Mus musculus: one gene and its partners. The protein of the gene in region 3 binds, or shares a complex with, the protein of the main gene of each other region. Links are inferred from orthologs where the notes say so. Each region holds a gene or a part of one and is shown on either strand. Other genes may lie near its edges. The genes, in order: Gna11, Ucn and Crhr2.

Region 1 (3,620 bases), on a different chromosome or scaffold from region 3:
CCGGCTACTCGGAGGAGGACAAGCGCGGCTTCACCAAGTTGGTGTACCAGAACATCTTTACCGCCATGCAGGCCATGGTGCGCGCCATGGAGACGCTCAAGATCCTCTACAAGTATGAGCAGAACAAGGTGAGGGCCAGCCCAGGCGGAGTCTGTGGGAGGTACCTGCCCCCGAGGCGGGGTCTGTGGAAGGTATCTGCCCTTGAGGCAGGTCTGTGGGAAGGACCTGCCCTCAAGGGCGGGGTCTGTGGGTGGGACCTGCCTCTGAGGGGTCTGTGGGGTCTGTGGGTGGGACCTGCCTCTGAGGGCCGGGTCTGTGAAAGGGACCTCCCATGAGGGCGGGACCTAGGAAATAGGAGCACAGGTAGGGGAGGGCTGCTGGCTGTGGGTTGTCAGTATCACCTGACCTCCTGGAGACTCCTGCCCACTGAGCTTCACTGTTGTTGCTGTTGTTTAAGTAGTATTTTGAAATAACTTTTTTTTTTGAGAATTTCATATTATTTCCAACTTATTATTTCTCCTCGCCCAGTTTTTCTTGATCCTTCCCCACCAGGCTGTGTGTTCATCTGTATGTGTGTATGAATGGATGGATGGATGGATGATGAGGCTCAGGGTCTTGGACTCTTAGGCCTGAACTTACGCTGAGCCAATTCCCCAACCCTTCTGCTTTAGAAACAGGGTCTTCTTGCTCAGTAGCTTCTTGCTCAGGGTCTTCAAGATCCAGTCTTGCCATCCCTCTGCCTCTGTCTCCCAAGGGCCAGGTATTGCCTTAAGAACTTTGCATTAGATCATGGGGCCCTGTAGAGGAGTCCTTGTGTCAAGTTGGAGTCCTGTGGTCCTGGATATGGATAGAAGGGAACACCTTGACTCTCGCTTGCCCTGCCCTGGTGTCTCTGCAGCCTCCTGACAGTTGTTGATGATTCTGGGCCCATTTGAGCCTCACATCTTGTTGGTGCAGGGAGGCAGGTGGGGACTGTGGAAGCTTTGCAGGCACATCAGCTGGAAGCAGCCTTCTGCCCATTCCACAAACAGGCTGATGGGGCTGGTTCTGCCAACTTACTTCCTTATATGAGGGCCAGGGTAGTCACTGTCACAGGTGGGGTTCTTCCCACTTAAGGACAGGCAGATGTGTGGAAGCTGCCCCTCCAGGGTTCAGCAAGGCCCAGGCAGCCCAGTACATGGTGGGTGCCATGTGAGCCGTGTAGAGTCATCAACCTTATCAGGCTGGGAGCCACATCTACTAGTAGCCCAGAACAGAGGCTACCTTGGGAAGACTAAAGAGGAGGGATCCACGGTCAGGCTCTTGGGGGCTGGTTAGTGGTGGTGTGTGGTTCACTGGCTCCTCTGACCTGGGGATGTGGAAGGGCCACCTCCTGGTGCTTTCAAGAGCGGGAGGCAGCCTCAGCTTATGTGTGCCCTGTGCAGCAACTCCCCTTTCTGGGCTTCCAAGGATCAGGTTCCAGGGTGGGCTGGGTTCTTGTGGGTAGAGCACTTGCCTGGCCTGTATGAAGCCCTGGGTTCCCTCCCCAGCACTAGTAAATCCCAGTGTATGGACATAGAGGTTGCAGGGTGAGTTCAAGGTCAGCCTGGGCTACACAAGATCAAGGGGAATGCAGATTATCTGTCCCAGCCCTCATACCCACCCACACAGAGTGGTCAGGGAGCATGGGTGGTGGGCGGTGGGCCTTGTAGCCTTGTCGCTTTCTAGAGGCCTTGGCTCCCCTCACTGCCCTACTGGCTCTGCAGGCTCCTTGCTTGCCCAGGGTCCCCCCACAGGAGTTCACAGTCCCTTCCTCCCTCAGGCCAATGCACTCCTGATCCGGGAGGTCGATGTGGAGAAGGTCACAACTTTTGAGCACCAGTATGTGAATGCCATCAAGACGCTGTGGAGTGACCCTGGTGTCCAGGAGTGTTACGATCGCAGGCGGGAGTTCCAGCTATCTGACTCGGCTAAGTAGTGAGTGGGGCTGGCATGCATGGCTAACACTAGAGACGTGGATGGGGTCAGAGTGGGCATGACCTAGGCCCAAGAGCCTATCCACAGACTCACTACCCACAGGCTGGCCGCCCAATCAGGGCAGCACTCTACTCTCCTGCCCAGATCGTGTGTCCACACAGGGCAGGGCTGGTCTGACCACTCATTGCCTACATGCTGGCCTCAGAGAGAACAAGATGAGGCTTAGAGAGCAGGGGCCGGACTCAGGCTTCTCATCTGTTCCATGCCTGGCTGGGAGAAGAGCCCAGTCCTAGCCTGCCCGGAGGGTCAACCAGGGCAGCAGAGACCTGAGGACATCTAGGAGAAAGTCACAGCTTAGAGGAGTCTGTGGTTGAGAAGGTGTTGCAGAGAATCCCAGCTGACAGGGCACTCAGGACTCAGCAAGGCACCTGGGTCAGTGACCCTGAGTTGAGCCTGCTGAAGTGTCTGCCTCCTATGCTGTGGCCCTGGCTGTAGTGGGCCCCACTCTCCAGCTTTCCAGAGGCCTTGAATCCCTTCCTGCCATCTATTTGGAACAACTGTGACTCTAGATCAATGGAGATAGTGTGCTCTCACCAGAGCCAATACACAGGTCCCAGCCCTCCAGTGCCAGGTTCCCGTCTGTCTGTGGGTGGTTGTGGGTTCTGTGCCATGTCCCAGGTGTCCAATGGCCCCAGTGGGCTCCTGAGCAGATACCTCTACGTTGTAGCTACTTGACGGACGTGGACCGCATCGCCACAGTAGGCTACCTGCCCACCCAGCAGGATGTGCTGCGGGTACGCGTGCCCACCACTGGCATCATCGAGTACCCGTTTGACCTGGAGAACATCATCTTCAGGTGATGGTCAGCATGCTGTAAGACCGTAGGGAGCTGATGGGGAGAGATGCGCAGGCTTGGCCGGGACTGGAAGGCAGCAGCGGGGATCCTGAGGTTTAGACCCCTTCCTGGGACCCCTGTGAACCTGAAGAGCACAAGAGAAACCCTGGAGATGCACGGGGTGCCATGGGGATGGATGTGCTTTGCTCCCATTCAGAACCCACATCCACAGACTCGGGAGGTCACGGGGCCTGGGCCTGCAGGCATGTTGTGCCCTTTCTGCTCCCTCTTTTTTTTTTTTTTTTTTTGGTTTTTCGAGACAGGGTTTCTCTGTGTAGCCCTGGCTGTCCTGGAACTCACTTTGTAGACCAGGCTGGCCTCAAACTCAGAAATCCGCCTGCCTCTGCCTCCCAAGTGCTGGGATTAAAGGTGTTTTGTGAGACTCCCAGTGGCACCATGATGCTGACCCCAGGGCAGAGACATGTTCCTATTTAAAACCTTTCCCTGGTGGGCCATGCGTGTGAGCATACCACGTCCATCACTCCCTTCTACTCACTCCCCTGGGTGGCCTCTCAGGCTTGTGCTCCCTCGGCACTGAGGCTGCATCTCCCCAGGAGAGTGTCCCTACCCCAAACCTCCCAGCCAAGGTTCCTCCTTGGCTGCCACAGCTACTCCAGTGAGGGCTGAGGCCCATGGGACATAGTTAGGGACCACATGGCCTATGACCTCAAGTCTTGGCAATGTGTGGCCAGTTGGGCAGCTGCTGTGTGGCTCTGAGCTATAGAAAGGTGATTCAGGTCTATAAGGCCACCCAGGTTCTGGGCAAACA
Region 2 (2,769 bases), on a different chromosome or scaffold from region 3:
CCTTGCCAACTTTACACCTATGTCCCAATAGCTAGCACACGTCCCCACTCTGTATAGATACAACTTCCTGTCTAGAGTTGAGACTTGAACTCAGCATTGTGGATGCTAGTCACGTGCTCTAACAACTAAGCAACATCCCTAGACTAGAGTGGCTATCACGCTTAACTTTTCTAGGTCCTAGTGCCTTTCGAGACCCTGTCAGGGACTTTATAGGCACAGAAATAGATACATTATTATCTGGGATCTGCAGTGGCTATGAATAAGACCCTTCAGAAGAGCACAGACCTGTCTGTAACTGGAAAGAAGCAGAGGCTGTTCATTTACAAAGACAGACGCCAATGGTTTCAGAAGTGAGGGACCTGACTACACAAGCTGGTGGCAGAGGAGGAACTTGGGCCAAAGTTTTCTCACTTCTACCTAGTGATTTCTTCGTTTTCGTGTGTGTGTTTGTGTGTGTGTGTGTGTGTGTGTGTGTGTGTGTGTGTGTGTGTGTGTGTGTTCAAAACTGGGTTTCTTTGTGTAGTCTTGGAACCAGCTCAGTAGACCAGTCTGGCCTCAAACTCAGAGATCTGCCTGCCTCTGTCTCCTGGGTGCTATGATTAAAGGAGTGCACCAGCACCACCCCAGCTCCTGACCTAGAAGGTAAAAAGGTATAATAGTACTGTTTCTGTGTTTCCTAGGAAAAAGCTGACTTTGCCAAACTCAGGAGGTACGTTAAGTTCTGAAAGCCAAACACCCTTTTATGCCATTCTGACACCTGTAGATTTTAGTTTGTACTGCTGTACAATGGTCAGTAGAATGGGTCAGACCCACTGTATTGGAGAGCCTTTGGGTGGGACTGTGTTGTCTGAGCCCCTGCCAGCAGAGCATTTCTGATCTCAATTTGAGGACCCAGTAGCCGGCCTAGGGACCGTGTCTAAGCAGCCCAGGCTTCTCCCCAGAACTTCTGTCCAGATTGTGGCTGTGAAGAAGTTCGGAACCACGGACAGCTCCACAGTCCTCCCTCTCTACTTGAGAAGAGAAACAACCCCTGACTATTCCTGCTCTGGAGACATTGGTGGTTCTGTGTCGGGGAAGGACTCTGCATCCGGAAGATCTATCTTTATGGCTCTGCCAGCTTCTCCCTCTACAGCCAGGGTGCTTCCAAAGATAGCTCCAGGGACACAAAGTCAGGATACGCACCCCTCTGGGGGCTCGAAGCTGCTGGACTCAAAGCTGCCGGTGTCATTGTTTCTACAATCAGTTCATGTTCTTCGCTGACGTCAGTCGGAGCTGTCCTGGTGCTATATAAGGCTGGCGGCGGTCCCGGGACAGACCCCGTGCTCCCCAAGGCGTCTTCAGCCCGTCCCCGGGGACAGAGTGGAGCTCCATCTTGCACTGGGCAGACACTCCGATAACCTGTGAGTGGCTTGAAGCAACGATCCAGACTCCCTTACCACCAAGACTCTGCACTCAGCCCACCCACTGTGACCTGCCGGGAGGGAAGGAGGGAGAGAGGGGTGGAACTGGACTGGCACAGCGCCTAGGGCTGGTGGGCAGGATGTGGACACCAGGCAACAGCTGGAGGGTCTCGGCAGGGGCACTGGGCGTGCGCGCCAAGGGGCTCGTGTTACCTGCGGCTGCTCCAAGTGCACCTCACCCTATGCTGCCCCTGTGTGTCCAGGGCAGGCGGCACCATGATACAGAGGGGACGCGCTACGCTCCTGGTGGCGTTGCTGCTCTTGGCACAGCTTCGCCCGGAGAGCAGCCAGTGGAGCCCAGCGGCTGCGGCGGCAACTGGGGTCCAGGATCCGAATCTGCGATGGAGCCCTGGAGTGCGGAATCAGGGCGGCGGCGTCCGCGCGCTCCTCTTGCTGTTAGCGGAGCGCTTCCCGCGCCGCGCAGGATCTGAGCCTGCGGGCGAGCGGCAGCGACGGGACGACCCTCCACTGTCCATCGACCTCACCTTCCACCTGCTGCGGACCCTGCTGGAGCTAGCTCGGACACAGAGCCAGCGCGAGCGCGCAGAGCAGAACCGCATCATATTCGATTCGGTGGGCAAGTGATCGGCCCCGTATGGGGTCACGAAAGCCTTGACCCTTTCCCTTACCTACCCCGGGGCTGGAACGCGCACAACCGGAGCTGTCTCAGTCCCGCGGTGCAGCGCCGCCCAGAGTCACCCTGAATACTCTGAGTGGTTATTTTTTAATAAAACTGCCCAAGAGCTTAGCCTCTATCTTCTGTCATAGTGGTGAGAGGGCACCGGCAACTACAGTTAGGGTAAGAACTTTTGGGAAAGTGGAGCTCTCCAGGCCGGTAGGAGAGACAAGCATGCTAAATGAGATGGGAGAGGAAGCCTATTAAATTCCTGGGAGCCCTTCCCCCAACCCGCCAGATCCCGGAACTCGGAGGTCTGATACCCTTTCAGGGTCTCCGGCTTAGGAGGCAACCTCTAGTGTAAAGGGAATGGCCACGAGGGACTATTTCGCCTCCGCCCCTTCAGATGGTCTGGGGTTGAGAAAGGGTAGAGCGATGGCGAGGTTGCTTCTATAGCTGAGCCTAGGAGTGGACAGCAAAAGGAGCCGAGGACGTGGGACACTTGAGTCCTTTATTGAGAACCTTCCCGGGGGCGGGAAGCCGAGCTTGGTGGCGCGGTGGTCTCTGCGCAGATCCTCAGCATCCCTTGGCTCCCGCTTCGGGTGTGCGCTCTGGATCAGAGTCGGGTCAGTGCAGGCCTGAGCCTGGGGGGGGGGGGGGAATTAACCGCCCGGTGAGCGGGTGCTCCAAACG
Region 3 (2,885 bases):
ACAAAACCAAGTGAGGGCTGCCTGTTAGTGAAAAGGTAGAACAGGGTCTTCTAGACACTCCATATCAGCCGCCTTTCCTGCTACCTCTCAACATAGAATAGGACCCTGTGGCCAAGAGGTGGCCAGTGATTGCTGGGTACATGGGTGGGTTAATGGGAGGATGGATGGATGGATGGGCAAAAACAATGGGTGGAAAATGGAATGAAGTGTTTGGTGGGAGGGTGGTTGGATAGATGGACGACTATTTGGTAGGTTAATGGAGAGATGAAATATTGGGATAGATAATTGAACGAACCAGTTAGTGAGTTGAATGATGTTCAATCCAAGAAATTTGAGTATCTTTTTATTTCTCAGAGACATCAGAAAGACTTGGGAAAAGAAAAAGAACTTTGTGTTACCTTAGGCTAGGTGAACCTTGAGAGGCAGCAGGCAGCAGGCCATGAGCAGCCTCTTACTTCCTCCCGGCTGTCTGTGGGCTCACTGGGCCATAGTCTATAAATGAATGTGAGAGAGAAGTAAGGTGTAGGGAGATGGGAGCCTGAGGTCTCCAGCTCCTCTACTGCCCAGTTTGGGGACAGTTGGCTACAAGGCTGATATATAATGATGTCCTTTATTCCCTTCCCTGAATCTATAGAGTGAGAGAATTAGAAGGGCTGGCTCGATCTGTAGAAGCAATGGATTTTTCTAGACAGAGACTGGGGAGCATGTGTGTGTCTCCACACAGATAGGTCAGCAGACATCTCTAGGCTAATTATGTGTCGCCCAGGCTGTGAACGCTTTCTGGGGAAAGAGTCCCAACAGGCATGTACACATTCCATTCCCATTTGCCTGCACTTAGCAATACCTAAAGAGAAATGCAGGCACACGGTGTTCCCTGATAGACACATACGCATGGTCGCACAAGACCCACTCTGAGACAAGCACATATGGACAGTCATACAGGGCAGCATACACAGAGGGACAGCACAGCCCCAGGGACCAGCTGCTCAACTGACTGACTCTTGAGATCCCCCTCAGAGAGCAAGAGATGCGGGGGAGCCAGAGACCCATGTGGCAGGCAGCTGACTCAGGAGCCAACAGACCCATAGCAGTCAGAGGTGGGAGTGTCTTTGATGTTAAGGGAAAACACCAAATGAAGATTAATTGTTCCTTTCCCAGCGCAACTGGGCAGCCCATTTATCTTCCTCGCCCGTGGGTGTCTGAAGGCTTTGGAGCACCTAGGAGAAGGAGTAGTAGAGACTAATCACTCCATCTGGCCTATGTCCCCCTCCCCCCAGGGTAGGGCTGAAAGGACCTTTGACCAACCATCCTAGAGCTGGTGACAGTTTGAGAGTCTCTGAGATCCTACACCAATAAGTAGGAACCCTGTGACCAAGAGAAGTAGATCAGAGATCTGGGGCGTGGTTCTGTATTGTCTTGGAGTAAAGCAGGGGGTGGGGTTCTCAGGAGTGACTCCAGAGGAGTAGTCACATTCCCCACCCATCTTCTTTATAAGCTGCCTGGACCATGGGTGGAGGGCAGGCAGGCCCTGGAGTCAATGGGTGCCTTCCTGCCCTGCTGGGTAGGAGCAGAAGTTGGGTGACCAAAGCAGGTGCCCGGTGCTGGAGCTTCTGCAGGTGCCAGAGGTTCTTTTTCTCAGCCCACTCTCATCGCACACCCTTCCCGTGTCCCTCTCTGCTTTCTTCCAGATCAATTTTGTATTTCTGTTTAACATCGTCAGGATCCTGATGACGAAGTTACGAGCATCCACCACGTCCGAGACAATCCAATACAGGTACGGAAATGCCTGGACACCTTGACCTGGCGGGTATGGAAGAAGCAAGGGGGTCCAATCACCAGAGCCCTTGGGGTCCTCGCCCCTAGAGTTGCTTGAGCAAAGCATAGCACCGCATCCCTCCTCCCCGAGTGAATCCTATCCTATAGGCAAGCTCAGGCTTGTTCTCACCCTCTCGCTTCCCCATCCAGGAAGGCAGTGAAGGCCACGCTGGTCCTCCTCCCCCTGTTGGGCATCACCTACATGCTCTTCTTTGTCAATCCTGGCGAGGACGACCTGTCCCAGATTGTGTTCATCTACTTCAACTCTTTCCTGCAGTCCTTCCAGGTAGACACCCCCACCCCCACCCCCACCCCGGGGCAGCACACCTCCCAGGCCCGGATGCTAACACTGAGCCGGCACGCTAGGATGGGTTATATGAGCACCAAAACGCAAGCGCTTGCACATCCAGAACCCCCACTTGGCCCCAGATGCTGACCAGGGTGCCCTGATTGTAACCCCCATCCTGGGACTTAACTGTCTTAGCACTTCTCAGAACACCTAGGACAAGCTCGGGATGTTGAGGCAAGAGGTCACACCCAGCTTAGAGCAGACCCTGGGGTAACTGTATGCCTCGTCTAAGCCCAGGACTTCTGAGCTCCACCCAGCCATCCCATGTCCTCCCACACTGCTGGCTGGAATGACCCCTCAGCAGATGCCTCACATCGCCTTCCTTCCTTTCTAGGGTTTCTTTGTGTCCGTTTTCTACTGCTTCTTCAATGGAGAGGTAGGAGACAGGGCCTTTGGGGTGGTCTAGGGGCTCAGGTCTCTTAGACTGTGCTCCCAGGTGGTCCAGCCAAGCTGCCCAGTCTTTCAGAAGAGCTTCGTCGCTGGCTCTTCTCAACTCCATCTATGGAGTTGAGGAGATGGGGCTAAGAAACCACTTAGCTTTAGGGGAATAGGACTTCTCCTGCAGAGCCAGCTTAGGTCAACTACACAAGCCAGGAGTAACATGCCTGTGCTCAATGTGTGCCCTCAGAGTCTAGGAGCAAGGTGCCCAGATAGCAGGACCTGAGGAAGCCAGACAGAGGGGATGACAGAGGAAAGCTTTCAGAAAAATGTGAGGTGGCAT

What was found.
Region 1: the proteins of Crhr2 (region 3) and Gna11 are in contact, whole or in part, in a cryo-EM structure (PDB 7TRY), measured with the Homo sapiens proteins. The link is inferred for Mus musculus from reciprocal best matches to the Homo sapiens genes CRHR2 and GNA11. Residues at the interface, in NP_001874.2 of Homo sapiens: Arg148, Tyr208, Leu209, Ala212, Ile213, Thr216, Glu220, Lys293, Lys307, Ala311, Phe358, Tyr359, Phe362, Asn363; in NP_002058.2 of Homo sapiens: Arg37, Ile348, Leu349, Asn352, Leu353, Glu355, Tyr356, Asn357, Leu358.
Region 2: the proteins of Crhr2 (region 3) and Ucn are in contact, whole or in part, in a cryo-EM structure (PDB 7TS0), measured with the Homo sapiens proteins. The link is inferred for Mus musculus from reciprocal best matches to the Homo sapiens genes CRHR2 and UCN. Residues at the interface, in NP_001874.2 of Homo sapiens: Phe68, Asn69, Gly70, Val71, Tyr73, Ile101, Leu102, Asp103, Asp104, Arg107, Asp110, Tyr113, Leu117, Asn120, Trp166, Leu169, Gln170, Val172, Asp173, His174, His177, Glu178, Thr188, Phe191, Asn192, Phe199, Phe256, Gly257, Lys258, Asp265; in NP_003344.1 of Homo sapiens: Asn84, Pro85, Ser86, Leu87, Ser88, Ile89, Asp90, Leu91, Thr92, Phe93, His94, Leu95, Leu96, Arg97, Thr98, Leu99, Leu100, Leu102, Arg104, Thr105, Ser107, Gln108, Arg111, Ala112, Asn115, Phe119.

What each region holds. Positions count from the first base shown.
Region 1 is NC_000076.6:81,531,588-81,535,207, reverse strand, and holds part of Gna11 (guanine nucleotide-binding protein subunit alpha-11), read left to right. Parts: coding exon 1-128; intron 129-1,801; coding exon 1,802-1,956; intron 1,957-2,683; coding exon 2,684-2,812; intron 2,813-3,620. UniProt on the Homo sapiens protein: Guanine nucleotide-binding proteins (G proteins) function as transducers downstream of G protein-coupled receptors (GPCRs) in numerous signaling cascades.
Region 2 is NC_000071.6:31,137,428-31,140,196, reverse strand, and holds Ucn (urocortin preproprotein), read left to right. Parts: upstream 1-1,301; 5' UTR 1,302-1,400; intron 1,401-1,663; 5' UTR 1,664-1,676; coding exon 1,677-2,045; 3' UTR 2,046-2,208; downstream 2,209-2,769. Other genes in the region: Trim54 (tripartite motif-containing protein 54), read right to left, coding at 2,704-2,720. UniProt on the Homo sapiens protein: Acts in vitro to stimulate the secretion of adrenocorticotropic hormone (ACTH). Binds with high affinity to CRF receptor types 1, 2-alpha, and 2-beta. Plays a role in the establishment of normal hearing thresholds.
Region 3 is NC_000072.6:55,092,168-55,095,052, reverse strand, and holds part of Crhr2 (corticotropin-releasing factor receptor 2 isoform 1 precursor), read left to right. Parts: intron 1-1,688; coding exon 1,689-1,774; intron 1,775-1,965; coding exon 1,966-2,101; intron 2,102-2,498; coding exon 2,499-2,540; intron 2,541-2,885. UniProt on the Homo sapiens protein: G-protein coupled receptor for CRH (corticotropin-releasing factor), UCN (urocortin), UCN2 and UCN3. Has high affinity for UCN.